Linked DNA regions of Stegostoma tigrinum. The protein of the gene in region 2 purifies or fractionates together with the protein of the main gene of each other region. This does not show direct contact. Links are inferred from orthologs where the notes say so. Each region holds a gene or a part of one and is shown on either strand. Other genes may lie near its edges.

Region 1 (10,931 bases), on a different chromosome or scaffold from region 2:
CCGAAAACAGCAGACTACAACATGTTACAGAGATAGTAGGAACTGCCGATGCTGGAGAATCTGAGATAACACGGTGTGAAGCTGGATGAACACAGCACGCCAGGCAGCATCAGAAGAGCAGGAAAGTTTGACATTTCAGGTCAAGACCCTTCTTCAGAAAACTATAAACCTACAGACTACAACATGTGCTTTGCCCTGTGGAACATGTGTTTTAATCCTGCAGCAAGGTCAAAAGGAGATTCAGATTTAGTCAGAGATGGAAACTTGACATCAATAACAACCTCAATTTTAACAGCAATCAACTGAAATCAGAGTCGCACCGAAATCTGACAAACAATGAACTCAGTGTCAAAGGATGGCAACACATACTGTGGCACAATCCCATTCTCAGACAGCACCATGAACAGAAAGTACACTTCGGTGTAGTGGATGATTTACCCATCTACTCTAAGAGATTGGTTATTCCTATACTCTTAAGTCTCAATACACTACAACAACTGCATCAAAAGCATCTGCTTATCATAATGCCATCCCAGAGTAAAATATTCTGTTTGATAGCTGGGTTTCCATATTGGGCTATATTGCTTGTGATATTCATCATCGGGGGACAAGAGAACTGTTGGTGTCATTTTCAGTTCGAATCAGATCATTGGAATGTTTCGGGATGAACCTCAAACACAAGATAAAATATTCTTGGCAGTAGATGGATAGAAGTCAAGCAACTGGAGGGTCACATGTTTGATCCAGTGATTACGTCATTGAACAAGATCTTTGCAACACATGGAATTGCAGACCTTGTATTCTCAGACGGTATGGAAAGAGTATTTTAAAGAGTTCATAACATCATATGGATGTCAAACTCCAAGCTCACCAAGATATCCTTAAGCTAACACTGAAACTGAATGAGCAGTATGTAGTGAAACAGTGAAATCAAGAAGTGACCTTAAACATACATTGCCGAGCCCTTGCTTATCTTCACTCCGAAACAGTTTAACTCCGCATGAACTTCTCACATGAAGACAGCCAGGAAATCAGCCCCCTCCACTGCCGCATATATTCGTGCTGCATGCACAAAGATGATGACTTGAAAGTGAAGGAGTAATAGGACAAGTATTGTTCCAGTCAGATGTGGGACTCTGGTAAGTGTCACAAAGCACACAACTTTATAGGCCTTCAACCAGCAGAGATAATTTGGCTTTGGACCAAGCTTGTTATGTACAATTGAAACAGACATCTCAGCTATGGTTTTCTGAAGAAGGATCTAGGCTTGAAACATCAGCCTTCCTGCTCGTCTGATGCTGCTTGGCCTGCTGTGTTCACCCAGCTCTACACCTTGTTATCTCAGCCACGGTCCTATCTTATTCAAAACAAGAACGGCACAGTCCAACCAAACAGTCATGCACTAGTTTCCACAAAGAAGCAATTTTCAGCAAAGTTGTAGTAGTCATTAACACAACCAAACAGACCAGAGATTTGGTGTTCATTGTAAAGTCCAGATGCAGCCTGATTACCAAACCAGAATCAGCAATTCTCCTTCTGCCCAGCACAATGGCTTCAAGAAATCTCAATTCCCAATCTCTTCAAAAGAGGCTGCAGACACATTCAGGTAAACTAATATATCCTCACAGCAATAGTGCCTGAAAATACAAATTCTGTTTACCTCTTCTGGCAACCTAGGTGGCAAATTCAGTATGTGTTGTTTATCCTAAATTTTCTTCCTTGCAAAAGTACAAGAGGTCCAAAACAGTTCTGTCCAGACATTGCAGAAAAGAAAGCGAAATTTTGTCATTCCCCATTAAAGCTTCAACCTACTGGCAACAAAAAGGCAGTTTTAATTATGAAAGCAAACAGTTTACATTCCAATCAGGCAACGAGGGGATATCAAAACTTAGCAGGTCTATCCTAAATTGCCCTTGAGCCGAATGGTTTGCTAGGCCATTTCAGCAGTCAATTAAGAGTCAACCACGGTGCTGAGGGATGGAGTCACAGTCATAGCATAGCAGAATCCCTATAATGCAGTAGCAGGCCATTCAGCCCAAAAAACCCACACCAAGCCTCCGAACAGCATCCCACCCCTCTACCCTAGTCCCGTAACCCGACATCTCTCATGGTTAATCCACCTAATCTACACATCTATGCACACTAAGGGGAATTTAGCATGCCCATCCACCTAATCTGCACATCTTTGGACTGCAGGAAGAAAGTGGCACATCCCACAGGAAGGTGACAGCTGCAGCCACAGGAAGAATGTGCAAAGGCCAGACAGTTGCCAAAGGCTGGAGCTGAACCTGGGTCACTGGCACAGTAAGGCTGCAGTGCTAACCACCGAGCCACCGTGCCACCCTCAGACCAGACCAGGTAAAAGGTAGATTAAATCCCCGGGACCTGATCAGGTGTACACTAGAACTCTGTGAAGGGCGAGGGAAGTGATTGCTGGGCCCCTTGCTCAGATATGTGTACCATCGATAGCCACAGGGGAGGTGCCGGAAGACTGGCGGTTGGTTAATGTGGTGCCACTATTTAAGAAAGGTGGTAAAGGAAAAAGCAGGGAACTGCAGACTGGTGAGCCTGACATTGGATGTTGGAGGGAATTCCGAGGGACAGGATTTACATGTATTTCGAAAAATAAGGACTGATTAGCGATTGTCAACATGGCTTTGTGAGAGAGAAATTGTGTCTCAATGACTTAATTGAGTTTTTTGAAGTAGTAACGAAGAGGACTGATGACGGCAGTGGTGGATGTGATCCATATGGATTTAGGAAAGGCATTTGACAAGGTTCCTCATGTGATAGCAAGGTTAGATCACATGGAATACAGGGAGAACTAGTCATTTGGATACAGAATTGGCTAGAAAGTAGAAGACAGACGATGAAGGTGGAGGGTTGCTTTTCAGACTGGAGGCCTGTGACCAGTGGTGTGCAAGAAGTATCGCTGCTGGTTCCACTGCTTTTCTTCACAGTGCAGGTTCATAGTCCTTGGAAATAGATTTGAATGTAGATAGGATAGTGAAAGGAGTGTTTGGTAAGCTTGCCCTTATTGGACAGTGCATTGTGTATAGGAGTTGGAGGTCATGTTGTGGCTGTACAGGACATAGGTTCGGCCACTTTTGGAATACTCCATGTGATTCTGGTCTCCCTGCTATGAGAAGGATATTGTGAAGCTTGAAAGAATTCAGATAAGATTTACAAGGATGCTGTCAGTTTGGATGAATTGAGCTATAAAGAGAGGCTGAATGGATTGGGACTATTTTCACTAGATGATGAGAGGCTGGGAGGTGATCTCAGAGGTTTATAAAATCATGAGGGGCACGCATGAGGTAAATAAACAAGGTCTTTTCCCTGGGGTGGTGGAGTCCAAAACTAGAGGGCACAGGTTTAAGGTGAGAGCGGAGAGAATTAAAAAGGGACCCAAGGAGCAGCATTTTCATGCTGAGGGTGGTGTGTGGATGGAATGAACCGCCAGAGAAAGTGGAAAAGGCTGGTACAATTACAACATTTAAAAGGCATCTGGATGGGTATATGAATAGGAAGGGTTTGAGGGGGATATGGGCCAAAAGCTGACAAACAGGGTTAGATTAATTTAAGATATCTTGTCAGCACGGATGAGTTTCCTTGCTAAACATTTCTATGACACTATGAGGTACAAATGGCAGATTTCATTTACCAACCAAAGCAGCGAAGTCAGACACTTGGGGAGCGAATAGGAACATGATCAGTCAAATCAGAAACTGGGTGGAGTATAGAATGATAAATTATGTCTGAATGTGATATGCTAATAAAAGTGATGCAATGTCACATGGTCTTAGTCTCCACTGCAGCCTCAGGACCAAGATGAAGCCATAGCAAGATGATTATTAAATAATGTTGATGTTTTCCTTACCTGAGGCTCTGTAAATATTATTTAGTAGCTCAACAAGACCAAGAGTATTGTAATAGATGCACTTACATAAACTGCTCAAAGAGTTATGGTATGTTTACAATTGATAAACATTATGCAAAAAGTACAATGATTGTAAATTGCAATGAATGACCCATGTGAAAACAGGACAGCAAATGACAATGTAATTGAAGATCGCAGAAAAGGAAAGTTTTCTCATCCTCATTTAGTTAACAACCGATCAGGGAGCTACTGGCACACTGTACATTACTTTAGAGTTTGGGGCTGCAGTCTTGCCTGAGTCAGGAACTCACTCCAGAGGCCTGAGTAAAAAAAAGGTAAATGACAACCCGAGTGCTGCAAATGCCAAAGAACAGTACTGGAGGAACACTGCATTACAGGAGGTTCAATATTGAGGTGGTACTGCACTGTTGGAGGAGACTGAGGGACTACCTTTCAAAAGATCTATTTGAGGAAAAGAATGGAAGGCGTCGTCCCTGGTATCTTGGACAACATTTACCTTTCAATCAAAATCAATAGAACAGAACATCGGGCAATTACCGTATTACGGTTGGCTATGGGATCTTGCTGTGCGCTTGCTAACTAGTGAGTTTCCTACATTACCATGGTGACCACACTTATTTAACTCATCGGCTTTGGAGCACTGTGAGGTTTCTATCCTCATCTCGCTGAGGTTGCGACTTTCCTCACAGGCTGCACAGTCCCACTCTACACCCAGCCCTACCTGATGCAATGAAAGGGGAAGAAGCTACTGCAGCTAAAGCCAGAGGTGCCGGAAGCCGCTCCCTCCCATCCTGACAGGCCAGCAGTTACCTCACCTGATGCAGGTACCCGGGCGGCACTCCTGACCTCGCCGACCACTAACACCACGGGGATGGAGCGGCCTCATTGGGGGATGGAGGTCCCAGGAGCCGGCCTGTACAGGAGACAGGGAGAAACAGAGGCAGGTCAGAAGCCGATTCATCACAGGGGAACCGCCTAAACTTCAGGCCGAGGCCGCTGACTTAATGCCAACTGGGGCCCGGCCAAACCCACAATCCTAACCCGAGTACTCACCACTGTCCCCAGCCGCCCGTTCCCTCAGGCGGTGCCGGCGAAATGGATGAAACTACCAGCAACCATGGAGCCGACACGTGGGTCACTCATATCCTCAGACCGCGTTCCATGGGTACGCTGGGTCCCCCTGACGGCCGGAGGACCGCGTTCCATGGGTACGCTGGGTCCCCCTGACGGCCGGAGGACCGCGTTCCATGGGTACGCTGGGTCCCCCTGACGGCCGGAGGACCGCGTTCCATGGGTACGCTGGGTCCCCCTGACGGCCGGAGGACCGCGTTCCATGGGTTCGCTGGGTCCCCCTGACGGCCGGAGGACCGCGTTCCATTGGTACGCTGGGTCCCCCTGACGGCCGGAGGATCGCGTTCCATGGGTACGCTGGGTCCCCCTGACGGCCGGAGGACCGCGTTCCATTGGTACGCTGGGTCCCCCTGACGGCCGGAGGACCGCGTAACATCGGTACACTGTGTCTCCCTGACGGCCGGAGGACTGCATTACATGGGTACACTGGGTCCACCTGATCCGCGTTTCATGATAATAAAATGTGAGGCTGGATGAACACAGCAGGCCAAGCAGCATCTCAGGAGCACAAAAGCTGACGTTTCGGGCCTAGACCCTTCATCAGAGAGGGGAGTGGGGAGAGGGAACTGGAATAAATAGGGAGAGAGGGGGAGGCGGACCGAAGATGGAGAGTAAAGAAGATAGGTGGAGAGGAGAGTACAGGTGGGGAGGTAGGGAGGGGATAGGTCAGTCCAGGGAAGACGGACAGGTCAAGGAGGTGGGATGAGGTTAGTAGGTAGCTGGAGGTGCGGCTTGGGGTGGGAGGAAGGGATGGGTGAGAGGAAGAACCGGTTAGGGAGGCAGAGACAGGTTGGACTGGTTTTGGGATGCAGTGGGTGGGGGGGAAGAGCTGGGCTGGTTGTGTGGTGCAGTGGGGGGAGGGGATGCACTGGGCTGGTTTAGGGATGCAGTAGGGGAAGGGGAGATTTTGAAGCTGGTGAAGTCCACATTGATACCATATGGCTGCAGGGTTCCCAGGCGGAATATGAGTTGCTGTTCCTGCAACCTTCGGGTGGCATTATTGTGGCAGAGCAGGAGGCCCATGATGGACATGTCATCAAGAGAATGGGAGGGGGAGTGGAAATGGTTGGCGACTGGGAGGTGCAGTTGTTTGTTGCGAACTGAGCGGAGGTGTTCTGCAAAGCGGTCCCCAAGCCTCCGCTTGGTTTCCCCAATGTAGAGGAAGCCGCACCGGGTACAGTGGATGCAGTATACCACATTGGCAGATGTGCAGGTGAACCTCTGCTTAATGTGGAATGTCATCTTGGGGCCTGGGATGGGGGTGAGGGAGGAGGTGTGGGGACAAGTGTAGCATTTCCTGCGGTTGCAGGGGAAGGTGCCGGGTGTGGTGGGGTTGGAGGGCAGTGTGGAGCGAACAAGGGAGTCACGGAGAGAGTGGTCTCTCCGGAAAGCAGACAGGGGAGGGGATGGAAAAATGTCTTGGGTGGTGGGGTCGGATTGTAAATGGCGGAAGTGTCGGAGGATAATGCGTTGTATCCGGAGGTTGGTAGGGTGGTGTGTGAGAACGAGGGGGATCCTCTTGGGGCGGTTGTGGCGGGGGCGGGGTGTGAGGGATGTGTCGCGGGAAATGCGGGAGACGCGGTCAAGGGCGTTCTCAATCACCGTGGGGGGAAAGTTGCGGTCCTTAAAGAACTTGGACATCTGGGATGTGCGGGAGTGGAATGTCTTATCGTGGGAGCAGATGCGGCGGAGGCGGAGGAATTGGGAATAGGGGATGGAATTTTTGCAGGAGGGTGGGTGGGAGGAGGTGTATTCTAGGTAGCTGTGGGAGTCGGTGGGCTTGAAATGGACATCAGTTACAAGCTGGTTGCCTGAGATGGAGACTGAGAGGTCCAGGAAGGTGAGGGATGTGCTGGAGATGGCCCAGGTGAACTGAAGGTTGGGGTGGAAGGTGTTGGTGAAGTGGATGAACTGTTCGAGCTCCTCTGGGGAGCAAGAGGCAGCGCCGATACAGTCATCAATGTACCGGAGGAAGAGGTGGGGTTTGGGGCCTGTGTAGGTGCGGAAGAGGGACTGTTCCACGTAACCTACAAAGAGGCAGGCATAGCTGGGGCCCATGCGGGTGCCCATGGCCACCCCCTTAGTCTGTAGGAAGTGGGAGGAGTCAAAAGAGAAGTTGTTGAGTGTGAGGACGAGTTCAGTTAGGCGGATGAGAGTGCCGGTGGAGGGGGCCTGGTCGGGCCTGCGGGACAGGAAGAAGCGGAGGGCCTTGAGGCCGCGTTTCATGAGTATGCTAGGTCCCCTGGCGGCCGGAGGTCAGTTCACTCAGGAGCACCAACCCATACGACAGCCGGAGGACCTCGTTACAATGGTATCAGTCTCTGCCTCCCTAACCTGTTCTTCCTCTCATCCATCCCTTCCTCCCACCCCAAGCCGCACCCCCATCTACCTACTAACCTCATCCCACCTCCTTGACCTGTCCGTCTTCCCTGGACTGACTTATCCCCTCCCTACCTCCCCACCTACACTCTCTCCACCTATCTTCTTTTCTCTCCATCTTCGGTCCACCTCCCCCTCTCTCCCTATTTATTCCAGTTCCCTCTCCCCATCCCCCTCTCTGATGAAGGGTCTAGGCCCGAAATGTCAGCTTTTGTGCTCCTGAGATGCTGCTTGGCCTGCTGTGTTCATACAGCTACACACTTTGTGATCTTGGTTGGGGGTGTGTTGAGTTCATGTGTACGTGTAATATGGTCCTCCGGCCGTAAGGGGCTCCAGTGCCTACCTAATACTGTCTCCGGGCGGCCAAAGGGGATCGCGGAGCAGACGTAAAGCAGTCATCTGGGCGCCAGGAGGACCCAGTGCACCATTGTAAAGAAATGTGAGGCTGGACGAACACAGCAGGCCCAGCAGCATCTCAGGAGCACAAAAGCTGACGTTTCGGGCCTAGACCCTTCATCAGAGAGGGGGATGGGGGGAGGGAACTGGAATAAATAGGGAGAGAGGGGGAGGCGGACCGAAGATGGAGAGTAAAGAAGATAGGTGGAGAGAGTATAGGTGGGGAGGTAGGGAGGGGATAGGTCAGTCCAGGGAAGACGGACTGGTCAAGGAGGTGGGAGGAGGTTAGTAGGTAGAAGATGGGGGTGCAGCTTGGGGTGGGAGGAAGGGATGGGTGAGAGGAAGAACCGGTTAGGGAGGCAGAGACAGGTTGGACTGGTTTTGGGATGCAGTGGGGGAAGGGGAAGAGCTGGGCTGGTTTTGGGATGCGGTGGGGGGAGGGGACGAACTGGGCTGGTTTAGGGATGCAGTGGGGGAAGGGGAGATTTTGAAGCTTGTGAAGTCCACATTGATACCATTAGGCTGCAGGGTTCCCAGGCGGAATATGAGTTGCTGTTCCTGCAACCTTCGGGTGGCATCATTGTGGCAGTGCAGGAGGCCCATGATGGACATGTCATCTAGAGAATGGGAGGGGGAGTGGAAATGGTTTGCGACTGGGAGGTGCAGTTGTTTATTGCGAACCGAGCGGAGGCGTTCTGCCTCTGCTTGGTTTCCCCAATATAGAGGAAGCTGCACGGGGTACCGTGGATACAGTATACCACATTGGCAGATGTGCAGGTGAACATCCGCTTGAGGTGGAAAGTCATCTTGGGGCCTGGGATGGGGGTGAGGGAGGAGATGTGGGGGCAAGTGTAGCATTTCCTGTGGTTGCAGGGTAAGGTGCCGGGTGTGGTGGGGTTGGAGGGGAGTGTGGAGCGGACAAGGGAGTCACGGAGCGAGTACTCTCTCCAGAAAGCAGACAGGGGTGGGGATGGAAAAATGGCTTGGGTGGTGGGGTCGGATAGTAGATGGCGGAAGTGTCGGAGGATGATGCGTTGTATTTGGAGGTTGGTGGGGTGGTGTGTGAGAATGAGGGGGATCCTCTTGGGGTGGTTGTGGCGGGGGCGGGGTGTGAGGGATGTGTTGCGGGAGACGCGGTCAAATGTGTTCTCGACCACTGCAAGGGGAAAGTTGCGGTCCTTCAAGAACTTGGACATCTGGGATGTGCAGGAGTGGAATGCCTCATCCTGGGAGCAGATGCAGAGGAATTGGGAATAGGGAATGGAATTTTTGCGGGAGGGTGGGCGGGAGGAGGTGTATTCTAGCTAGTCAGTGGGCTTGAAATGGACATCAGTTTCTAGCTGGTTACCTGAGATGGAGACCGGGAGGTCTGGGAAGGTGAGGGATGTGTTGGAGATGGCCCAGGTGAACTTGAGGTTGGGGTGGAAGGTGTTGGTGAAGTGGATGAACTGTTCGAGTTCCTCTGGGGACCAAGAGACGGCGCCGATACAGTCATCAATGTAACGGAGGAAGAGGTGAGATTTGGGGCCTGTGTAGGTGCGGAAGAGGGACTGTTCCACGTAACCTACAAAGAGGCAGGCATAGCTTGGCCACGCGGGTACCCATGGCCACCCCCCTTGTCTGTAGGAAGTGGGAGGAATCGAAAGGGAAGTTCTTGAGGGTGAGGACGTGTTCAGCTAGGCGGATGAGGGTGTCGGTGGAGGGGGACTGGTCGGGCCTGTGGGACAGGAAGAAGCGGAGGGCCTTGAGGCCATCTGCATTAGGAATACAGGTGTATAGGGACTGGACGTCCATGGTGAAAATGAAGTGTTGGGGGCCAGGGAATTGGTAATTCTGGAGGAGGTGGAGGGCGTGGGTGGTGTTACAGACGTAATTCGGGAGATCCTGGATCAAAGGGTAGAAAATGGAGTCCAGATAGGTGGAGATGAGTTCGTTGCGGCAGGAACAGGCTGAGACAATGGGTCGATCAGGGCAGGCAGGTTTGTGGATTTTGGGAAGGAGATAGAAATGGGCCGTGCGGGGTTGGGGAACAATAAGGTTGGAGGCTGTGGATGGGAGGTCCCCTGAGGTGATGAGGTCATGGATGGTGTTGGAGATGATGGTTTGATGCTCGGGGGTGGGGTCATGGTCAAGGGGGCAATATGAAGAGGTGTCGGAGATTTGGCGTTTGGCCTCAGCGATGTAGAGGTCAGTGCGCCATACTACCACTACGCCACCCTTGTCTGTGGGTTTGATGTTGAGGTTGGGGTTGGAGTGGAGGCTGTCCGTTCTGCGGGGGAGAGGTTGGAGTGGGTGAGAGGGGTGGAGAGGCTGAGGTGGTTAATGTCTCGACGGCTGTTGGAGATGAAGAGGTCAAGGGAGGGTAGGAGGCCTGGGGGTGGTGTCCAGGAAGAGGACTTGTGTTGGAGGCGAGTCAAGGGGTCAGTGGAGGGAGGATAAGGCTCCCGGTTAAAGAAGTAAGCATGGAGGTGACGGCGGCAGAAAAACTGCTCGATGTCCAAACGTGACTGATATTTGTTGATGTGTGGGTGGAGGGGGACGAAGGTGAGCCCCTTGCTTAGGACTGACCATTTGTCCTCAGTCAGTGGGAGGTCTGGAGGGATGGTGAAGATTCGGCAGGGCTCAGTGTGGCTGTCTGCTCTGGGGTTGCTGGCGGTGGAGGCTGTGGGCGGAGCGATGAGGTCGTCAGCCGTGGGCGGAGTGCGTGCACCCCCAATCTATCCTGGAGATACAGCACTATATCTACAAGGAGAAGACACAATTCCCCCTCCCCCCCCCAGCTGTTTTGCGTATGTCAATACAGACAACATTGCTGTAATAAAACATCAATGTGTGTATACTGAAGGTCTGAGATAAAAACAGAAATCGCTGGAGAAATTTAGGGGGGCTGGCAGCACCTGTGACAGAGAAACAGAATTAACATTTTGATTCCACTCACTCCTTGTCAGAACAACACAAATCATGAAGAAATTCTAAATCTGGATAAACAGTTGCAGTGGGGTGCGGGAGAGGCATCTGGGAATATGATTGAAGAACTTTTGTTTATCTTATTTCACAGCAAGTGGCTACAGCTAATGAGCTCAGCATTTACTGCCCATCTTCGATTGCATTTACTGTAGGTAGA
Region 2 (9,995 bases):
GCGAAAAATGATTCAACCCCAAATAGGTAAATTCAGAATTCCACTGCAGCCAAAGGATGATTTAGCTGTCACCAAAATGTAGATCTCTCTCTCAAAAGACACTGCTGGCAGGCAAGTTATGTTCCAGTTTAAAACCAATAATTTAAAACATGCAGAAAGAAAGCACTCAAATTTTGTTAATGCTTTTGAATTTGAGCTCATCAGTGCATTTCATAATGCTACAAACTCAAAGGATAAGTTAATTTTAAAACTGCAGGAAGAAAGAGAATGCCAAAATGGTTGGCAAGAGATCCAATTGGTAATGGCATTGCCACAGAGAATGCATCATCATCAGGCAGATTCTTAGCTTGCGAAGATCAGTTGGGAAGAGATTCATCAGCGATTTCGTTGGCACAACAGTTGGTGGCTGTAGAGTCCTATTCTGGACCTGCAGATCCTGGGGCAACGCGGGCAGGGGAATGCTCCGGACAGCAGGGCTTGAGATGAGGGCTCCTTCCTGCGTTTCCGTCTGTCCTCTGCAGCTGCTCTCCTCGAACATTCGAACTGCTCCGTCGCCGTCATAGTTTTCTTCTGCCATGCGTCCCTCTCAGAGGCCAGCTTTTGCCATTCCATTGAGGCAATGCCGGCCTGAGACAGCTGTTGCTTCAGTTGGTTTTTGTAGTGCTTGCGCGGGACACTGCGGTTTCTTTTGCCGACGCAGAGTTCCCCAAAGAACACTGTCTTGGGTATTCTGGTGTTGTCCATCCATGATACGTGACACAACCAGTGAAGTAGCTTCAGGAGAAGGGTTGCTTCGATGCTGGGGAGCCAGGCCTTTTCCAGCACTTTGTTGTTAGAGACGCGGTCCTGCCAGGTGATGCCCAATATAGAGCGCAGGCAACGTTGGTGGAATCGTTCCAGCAGCCGCATCTGTTTCCGATACAAAAGGTCTCGGAGCCCTAGAGCAGTGTGGTGATGACCGCGGCCTTGTAAACCTGGATTTTCGTCGACATGATTTTCTAGTGGTTTCCCCATACACGCTTCTGCAGTCGCCCGAAGGCGCTACTTGCTTTTGCACGGCGATTGTAGACATCTCTGGTGACTGTCACATCGTCAGAGGTTATGCTTCCCAGGTACATGAAACGTTCCACCATGTTGAGGGGGTGGCCGTCGATCGAGATTCGAGGTGGGTTGTATGTGCTGCATGGTGGCTTCTGGTACAGGATCTCCGTCTTCTTCAGACTGATCATTAGCCCGAAAGCCTTTGCAGCTTCGGAGAAGCGCGTCACTGCAGTCTGTAGCGCATCTTCTGTGTGCAAGAGTAGGGCGCAGTTGTCCGCATACAACAGCTCCATGATGGGCTCCTGTGTTGTCTTCGTGCGAGTGAGAAAGCGGCACAGATCGAAGGTATTGCCGTCCGGGCAGAAGCGAATGTAGATGCTGTTTGTGATGCCCTCAACGTTGATTCACAGTTAACAGCCGAGCCAGACATAAATTTTGAAGCAGGCAGTTGACTGATTTTGCTGCCACCTAGCCCACAGCTGTAACTGACTGTGTTCAATTTAAACAGCAACATTTCATATATAACTTCTGTGTACAAACAGCAGAGCCCTGTGTATTAATGTGTAGCTTCCAGGGCATACCCCAAAGATTGACAGATTATTTCAAATAGCTTTTCACCTGAGCTATTTGCAACAAACAAGGTACTGACTGTACCCAACATGCAAAACTCAATAGGGTAATGTTAGATGCAATTCTTAAGTTGACAAATTTGGTGGATAATCCTAAAAGAGAGAAACTAGACTGGCAACCAAGTTAAGACCATTCAGGTTCAGCACAGCACATGTACATGTACTGGACTGCAGCACCAGAAAGCCAATGTCTGTAGCTAAAGTGGGGCTTGTGGCCTGGCAGCAAAGCTAGGGTCTCCTGGTTGTGGGGGAAAGTGTGGGTTCACAACAGCATCAGAGAAGAGGGCCCAGCGGGGAAGAAATGGCTCCTGAAGTGGAGCAACTCATATGTTGGTGAATCTAGCACAAGTGGCAACAAGGCAGTGGAGGTCTCCCTGGAGGCTTGGTGCCAGCATGGACTGGGCCAGAACGACTGATCGTGAGCTTTTTACTTATTTTCCTAATTTATTCCAATGACCAAAAATGCTGGACTATTCATTTCTTTACTTTCCTAACATGATTTTTTTTGTTTCCTAAGATTTGATTTTAAAGTAGCTGGTATCTTTGTACCTTTTCTGATGAAGGGTCTAGGCCCATAACATCAGCTTTTGTGCTCCTAAGATGCTGCCTGGCCTGCTGTGTTCATCCAGCCCCATACTTTATTACCTTTGTACCTAAAATGGCATTGTAATGCAGTAACCATAAACTTTTCACTGTACTCATTCAAGTACACAACAATAAAGACAATTCAATTCAAGCTACATATTTTATACAGGTACAAAGAACATGGACCTAGTCTATGATAACAAAGTGCGGAGTTGGATGAACACAGCAGGCCAAGCAGCATCTTAGAAGCACAAAAGCTGGCATTTCAGGCCTAGACCCTTCATCAGAAAAGGGGGAGGGGGGAGGCTGATCCAAGATGGATAGAGGAGAAGATAGGTGGAGAGGAGACAGATAAGTTAAAGAGGCAGGGATGGAGCCAGTAGAGGTGAGTGTAGGTGGGGAGGGAGGGGATAGGTCAATCCAGGGAGGACAGACAGGTTGGGGGGGGTGGGGGAGATGATGAGGTTAGTAGGCAGGAAATGGAGGTGCGGCTTGCGGTGGGAGGAGGGGATAGGTGAGAGGAAGAACATGTTAGAGAGGCGGGGATGAGCTGGGCTGGTTTTGGGATGGGGGGGGAAAGCTGGATTTTGAAGCTTTTGAAATCCACATTGAAAACATTGGGCTGCAGGGTTCCCAAGCAGAATATGAGCTGCTATTCCTGCAACCTTCAGGTGGCACTGCAGGAGGCCCAGGGTGGACATGTCGTCTGAGGAATGGGAGGGGGAGTTGAAATGGATGAATGAACAAACAAGAGGAATTTGCAGCAGTAGTAATGTCCCTACCTCTGAGCTAGGACAGCCAGGTTCAAGTCCTTACTTGCTCTGGGTGTGTGTAACGTTTCTGAACGGGTCAATTCGCAAACACACCTGATGAACTGCTATAGTTGTTTACTGCGAACCGAGCATACGTGTTCTGCAAAGCGGTCCCCAAGCCTCCGCTTGGTTTCCCCAATGTAGGAGGCCACAATGGGTACAGCAGATGCAGTATACCACATTGGCAGATGTAGCACTTCCTGCTGTTGCAGGGGAAAGTGCTGGGTGTGGTGGGATTGGAGGGGAGTGTGGAGCAGACAAGGGAGTCATGGAGAGAGTGGTCCTTCTGGAAAGCAGACAAGGGTGGGGATGGAAAAATGTCTTTGGTGGTGGGGTCAGATTGCAGAAGTGTCAGAAGATGATGCGTTGGATCCGGAGGTTGGTGGGGTGGTATGTGAGGATGAGGGGGGAATTCTCTTTTAGCAGTTATTGTGGGGACGGGTTGCAAGGAATGAGTTGCCGGAAATGCAGGAAACACGGTCGAGGGTGTTCTCGACCATTGTGGCCATGGGGGTTTGTGGTCTTGAAAAACGAGGACATCTGAGATGTACAGGAGTGGATGCCTCATCCTGGGAGCAGATGCGACAGAAGCAAAGGAATTGGGAATAGGGGATGGAATTTATGCAGGAAGGTGAGTGGGAGGAGGTGTATTCCAGGTAGCTGTGGGAGTTAGTGGGCTTAAAATGGATATTTGTTTGCGCTCCTAAGATGCTGCTTGGCCGGCTGTGCTCATGCAGTTCCTCACTTTGTTATCTCAGATTCTCCAGCATCTGCAGTTCCCATTATCTCATGGGCATGGCTTATGCCTGTTTCAAGTCAAAATTGGGAACAACACTCTCAGGTTCATTGATGAATGGAAGCAGCTGAAGATGGCTGAACACAGGTCACTCCTCTGATAAACTGCTGATTCTTTTAGTGCAAAGTGGTTGTGTTTCTACTACTGAGCCAGAAAGCCTGGGTTCGACCAGCTCTAGAGATGGGAAATGGACAGGTGATTAAATATATCTTTCCTGACGAACAAACAAGAGGAATTTGCAGCAGTAGTAATGCCCCTACCTCAGAGCTAGGACAGCCAGGTTCAAGTCCTTACTTGCTCTGGGTGTGCGTAACATTTCTGAACGGGTCAATTCGCAAACACACCTGATGAACTGCTATAGTGCTCGTCGTGAAGCTACAATGACTAACAACCACAACCATCTTGCTAGAAGCCAGGCACGACTTCAGCCATCACAGCTTTCTCTCCACTCCGAATAAAGCCCAGTTTTGCAAAGGCTTCTTGATACCACATTCTTGTCCTCACTTGGGGGAGGGAGTGAAGATGGCGTGGGGATAAGGGGATGGTGACGGGAGGAAGCAAATAAGGAGGCGCGGGTGTGAGGGGGGATGGAGAGAATAGGAGCTTGGTGGATTGGAGGGGACATGAGATAAATCTGCTCAAGGCCCACCTGCATAATAGTTTTGCGGATCTTCCACAGCCGGTAGGTCTCCTCTTCATCGTCCATTGCTACCGCCCGAGGCCCGGACGCTGCTTTATGACAGTTTCCACACACGCAAGCCGGCCGCCCGCGCAGGCGCAGTGGCGGCGACGCCGAACGTGCTGCGCCAATGCGCATGCCCTATCGGAGCCCTTCAGCGCGGGTTTTGGCAAGTTTGGTCAAAATGGTGCCTTAAAGCGAATTGCTAGCCTTGTTTCTGTATTGTTACCTTTTAGTTCCTTGCTATAGCGTTTTGTGTATGACATTTCTTGGACATAATATTTAGTCTAGTTTTGATCTAGTTAGGCAGAAACCCTCATAACATTTAAGAAGTATTCAAAAGTGCACATGATATCAAGGTCTGTAAGGCAATCGGCCAAGTATTGGAAAATGTGGTTAGAATAGTTAGGTGGTTATTTTTGACCCCTCAATGAGCTGAAAAGGCTGTTTTCTGTTCAATAGACCTCTATGACTCGATGATCTAACATCCATCAGTCTCCTGTTTGGCATCAATAGGAAATACAACAAAAGTTCTGAATTCAGCTATTGAATTTACTGCACCAGTCCATATAATCCTAGGTAGCCTAAGCAGCCTCCTCCAGCACCTGCTGGCACTATAGTTAACTTATAAAGTTGAAGGGAGCTCTTTGGGCCATGAAACACCCTTGCTCTTATTCCTAAATTCACTGCTCATCTGAAGATGGGAGAAGCTTTCTGCTGTCTATACTACAAGAGCTCCCATGTGAAAATCCCATAGAGCGATACCAGAGATAATATCGAAACTGCCCTGAAATCTGTTTCCTACCCTTGGAAAAATAAAGTCCTGTAAACTCTCACATGAAGAATCTGGTAATCCCACTCCATGTGGTTTGTTTTTCAGTACAATATGTAGTGGTTTTTGATTCATGGTTCTTCACTCAATGATTTCAGACATCACGTTTTATTTGCACCTCCTTTATGCTATTGTGTGCTCAACTTTAAAGATAAAGGAAGGGATGGGTGAGAGGAAAAACAGTTTAGGGAGGCAGAGACCAGCCCAGCCTGTCTCTGCCTCCCTAACCTGTTCTTCCTTCCACCCACCCCAAGGTGCACCTCCATTTCCTACCTACTAACCTCATCCCACCTCCTTGACCTGTCCGTCTTCCCTGGACTGACATATCCCCTCCCCACCTATACTCTTCTCTCCACCTATCTTCTTTTCTCTCCATCTTCGCTCCGCCTTCCCCTCTCTCCCTGTTTATTCCAGAACCCTCACCCCATCCCCCTCTCTGATGAAGGGTCTAGGCCCGAAATGTCAGCTTTTGTGCTCCTGAGATGCTGCTTGGCCTGCTGTGTTCATCCAGCTTCACACTTTATTAACTAATGGGAATGTGCCCTCAATGATAAGCAAATGATAAACAAACATTTACCTGATGAAACAACTCAAATCCAGCTTTTGATTTCAGCAACAAATTGAGGATACTGACAGAAAGGCAGGTTCACTAAAAGGGCTGAACAAGTGGACATGGATTTTATGCCAGGCTGTCCTGTGTGAAACAAAGAGCCAACTCAATTAACAAATCAACAAAGACATCAGATATGGGAGGCATTCCTATGTGATATGTGAAGATTACAATACTGCAAATGTTTACGTGAATGAATAGCATATTTAGCTTAATTCTAGTATGTTAAATATTCTATCAATTTGTGACATAAACCACTAATGACTTGATAATGGGACAACAAGGAATAAAGAAGAAATACAGAAAGTAGAGATGTGTAAATGTAGTTATTACCATAGTATTCATAGACACATTATCGTTTTAGGGCATTCACTTATCTCCTTTACTGCTGCCGAGACCAAAAGAACATACAGAGTAGCCACTCATTTCATCTTCTTGCAGAGAAAATCTCCAAACTTTAGAACACACTGAACTAATCAGTATGATGATGCATATATAACTCTTTACCAACTTTATTTAGGATCTTCAAAGGATGGAAGAATAAAAGGTGTTGATGATGTGCATACTGACAGGAACATTCACATTTCTTGTACCTAAGTATGTGATCACATTGTTTAGCTTAAATAAGCAGGTTTCAGCAACTTTTCATAAGACGTGTTGTGTTTTGTCCTGGACGCAATAACAAGTGTATAAACATACATGTATATATTGTATATGAATTAAGAGCAGAAGGAAGCCGTTTGTACCCTCGAGCCAGCTGACATTTAGTAAGATCAGATGATCTGTATGCATGTCAAATTCCACATTCCGATCTATTATGATAACATTCTGGATCTTGTTCATCTCTGCTTAAAAATATTCAATGATCTGCCTCCACAGCCTTTGAGGCCAAGTTCCAAAGTCACACATCTCTCAAAGAAAATAATTTACCTCATCTCTGTTTTAAAAGGATGGCTCCTAATTTATAACAGTGTCCCTAGTTCTGGGTTCATCCACAAGACGAAGTATCTTTTCTACATTCATTTTGTCAGGACTGTTTTGAATATTGTACATCAATTACATATACATCAATGATTAATCAATCATTCTTCACTCTTCAAAACAAGCCGAGTATTGCACGACATTTCCACCGAAGATAACCCAGTCATTTCAGGTATCAATCCATAACCCTTCTCTGAGTTGCCACCAACATATTTGCGTGTTTTCTTAAGTTTTCTAGAGTTGCATATAGGGCAGACCACATAAGGATGGCAGATTTTGTTCACTAAAGAACATTAGTTAACCAGAGATAGTAGGAACTGCAGATGCTGGAAAATCTGAGATAACGAGTAGAGCTGGATGAACACAACATGCCAAGCAGCATCAGAGGAGCAGGAAAACTGACGTTTTGGATCTAGATTCTTCTTCAGAAATGGGGGAGGGGAAGGGGATTCTGAAATAAATAGGGAGAGGGGGGAGGCGGATGGAAGATGGATAAAGGAGAAGATAGGTGGAGAGAAGACAGACAGGTCAAAGAGGTGGGGGTGGAGCCAGTGAAGGGACTGCAAGTGCGGAGTTGGCGCAGGGAGCAGATAGGTCAGTTCAGGGAGGTGGTCCTTTTTTGCAGGAAGGTGGGTGAGAGGAGGTGTATTCTAGGTAGCTGTGGGAGTCAGTAGGCTTGAAATGGATATTGGTTTCCAGGTGGTGGAAACAGTAAGGTCCAGGATGGAGAGAGAGGTGTCAGAGATGGTTCAAGTGAATTTAAGGTTGGGGTGGAAAGTCGTAGTGAAGTGGATGTACTGTCCGAGCTCCTCGTGGGAGCACCTCCTCCCATGCACCTTCCTGCAAAAATGCCATCCCCGTTTCCCAATTCCTTCGCCTCCACCACATCTGCTCCTGGGATGAGACATTCATTTTTCAAGGACCGCAACGTTCCCCCCCCCACCCCCACAGTGGTCAAAAACGCCCTCGACCACATCTCCCGCATTTCCTGCAACTCATCCCTCACAGCCCCCTCCCCACAATAACAACCAAAACAGGATCGCCCTCGTCATCACGTACCACCCCACCAAATTCCGGATCCAACGCATCATCCTCCGACACTTCCGCCGTCTGCAATCTGACCCCACTACCAAAGACATTTTTCCCTCCCTACCCTTATCTGCCTTCCAGAGGGACCACTCTTTCTGTGACTCCCTCGTCTGCTTCACACTCCCCTCCAGCCCAACCACCCCCGGCGGTTTTCCCTGCAACCATAGGAAGTGCTACACCTATGTCTACACCTCCCCCATCCCAGGCCCCAAGAAGACCTTCCACATCAAACAGATGTTCACCTGCACATCTGCTAGTGCGGTATACTGTATCCGCTGTTCCCGATGTGGCCTCCTCTACATCAGGGAAAGGAAGCAGAGGCTTCAGGACCACTTTACGGAACACTTACGCTCGGTTCGCAACAAACAACTGCATTGCCCAGTCACGAACCATTTCAACTCGCCTTCCCACTCCTCGGACGACATGTCCAGCATGGGCCTCCTGCATTGTCACAATGATGCCACCCAAAGGTTTGCAGGTACAGCAACTCATATTCTGCTTGGGAACCCTGCAGCCCAATAGTATCAATGTGGACTTCACAAGCTTCAAAATCTCCCCTCCCTGGACCGCATCCTAAAACCAGCCCAGCTTGTCCCCGCATCCCTAACCTGTGCTTCCTCCCACCTATCCCCTCCTCCCACCTCAAGCCCTACCCCTATCTCCTACCTACCAGTCTCATCCCACCCCCTTGACCTATCCCACCCCTAACTCCCCACTGCTTCCGCCTCCGCCTCTCTGACCTGTCTGTCTCCTCTGCACCTATCTTCTCCTTTATCCACCTTCTATCCGTCACCCCCTCTCTTCCTATTTATCTCAGAATCTCCTTCCCCTCCCCCATTTCTGAAAAAGGGACTAGACCTGAAATGTCAGCTTCCCTGCTCCTCTGATGCTGCTTGGCCTGCTATGTTCATCCAGCTCCACACCTTGTTATTAGTTAACCAGATGTGTTTTTAGAAAAATAATTTAATGGTTATCATTACTTTAATTAGCTTTCCATTCCAGATTTTATTAATTAAATTTAATTCCATTAGCTACCTTGGTGAGATTTGAACTGAAATCCCTGGAGCATTCATACAGACTTCTGGATGATTCATCTGGTGACATCACCATCAACATTGGGCCGATTTTGTAGACACTTTAGATTTCAACCTAGCACAGGTGTTAGTTGACTTGAATTTGTCCTTAAGTGTTTTAAAGTCAATTGAAGGACCCTTTTTCAAAAATGGTTCCAATTAGTGTTCAAATATAAGGATTTCTTTAGCATACCGTGTCCACCAGTAAGAGGTGTGTTCAAATGTATTTAGTTGAAGTAGAGCAAAGATTATTCAAATTGTACACAGAGTTGTACAGATTTGGAAATCGAATTGATAGTAAGAGAATGGACTCAAACTTTGGAGGCAAGAGCACAACAGAATTATGCTACTGTAACCACACAGTATTACTGGCAGAATCAGAAGAGACCCTACCATGGATAATGCAAAATCTAGTTTAGAATAGAGATTTGAGTATAAATTAATAAAATAAGAATAAAACTGTAGTTGTTAGAAAGATTAGAAAAAAACTGAAGTGTAGTTTGAAGTGAATGATGTCACAATGGAACAAGAGGATACATTTGTTTATTTTAGACAGATGATAACAGGACATGACAAATGTGATACAGAAGTTAGACAAAGGATAGAGATGGGAGTAATTTTGTGAAGATGAAGGATGTAGTACAATTGAATTTTCTTGTTAACAGAGGAAAAATCTCATACAGCATGGAAACAGACCCTTGGTCCAACCAGTCCAAACATAATCCCAAACTTAATCTAGTCCCAACTGCCTGTTCCTGGCCCATATCCCTCCAAACCATTACTATTCATGTACTTATCCAATTGTCTTTTAAATGTTGTAATTGCATCCACATCCACCACTTCCTCAGGAAGTTCATTCCACACACAA

The links. Proteins that work in one complex are often made in the same cells at the same time.
Region 1: the proteins of DNA-directed RNA polymerases I, II, and III subunit RPABC1 (region 2) and polr3e purify together in Homo sapiens (affinity purification with mass spectrometry; 5 studies listed by BioGRID and IntAct, counting the BioPlex papers as one, with this or other methods). This does not show direct contact. The link is inferred for Stegostoma tigrinum from reciprocal best matches to the Homo sapiens genes POLR2E and POLR3E.

What each region holds. Positions count from the first base shown.
Region 1 is NC_081376.1:34,158,582-34,169,512, reverse strand, and holds the start of polr3e (DNA-directed RNA polymerase III subunit RPC5), read right to left. Parts: upstream 5,066-10,931; 5' UTR 4,955-5,065; intron 4,815-4,954; 5' UTR 4,717-4,814; exon of another isoform or gene 4,712-4,716; intron 1,809-4,711; 5' UTR 1,661-1,808; intron 1-1,660. UniProt on the Homo sapiens protein: DNA-dependent RNA polymerase catalyzes the transcription of DNA into RNA using the four ribonucleoside triphosphates as substrates.
Region 2 is NC_081383.1:17,539,190-17,549,184, reverse strand, and holds the start of DNA-directed RNA polymerases I, II, and III subunit RPABC1, read right to left. Parts: upstream 4,633-9,995; 5' UTR 4,570-4,632; coding exon 4,513-4,569; intron 1-4,512. UniProt on the Homo sapiens protein: DNA-dependent RNA polymerase catalyzes the transcription of DNA into RNA using the four ribonucleoside triphosphates as substrates.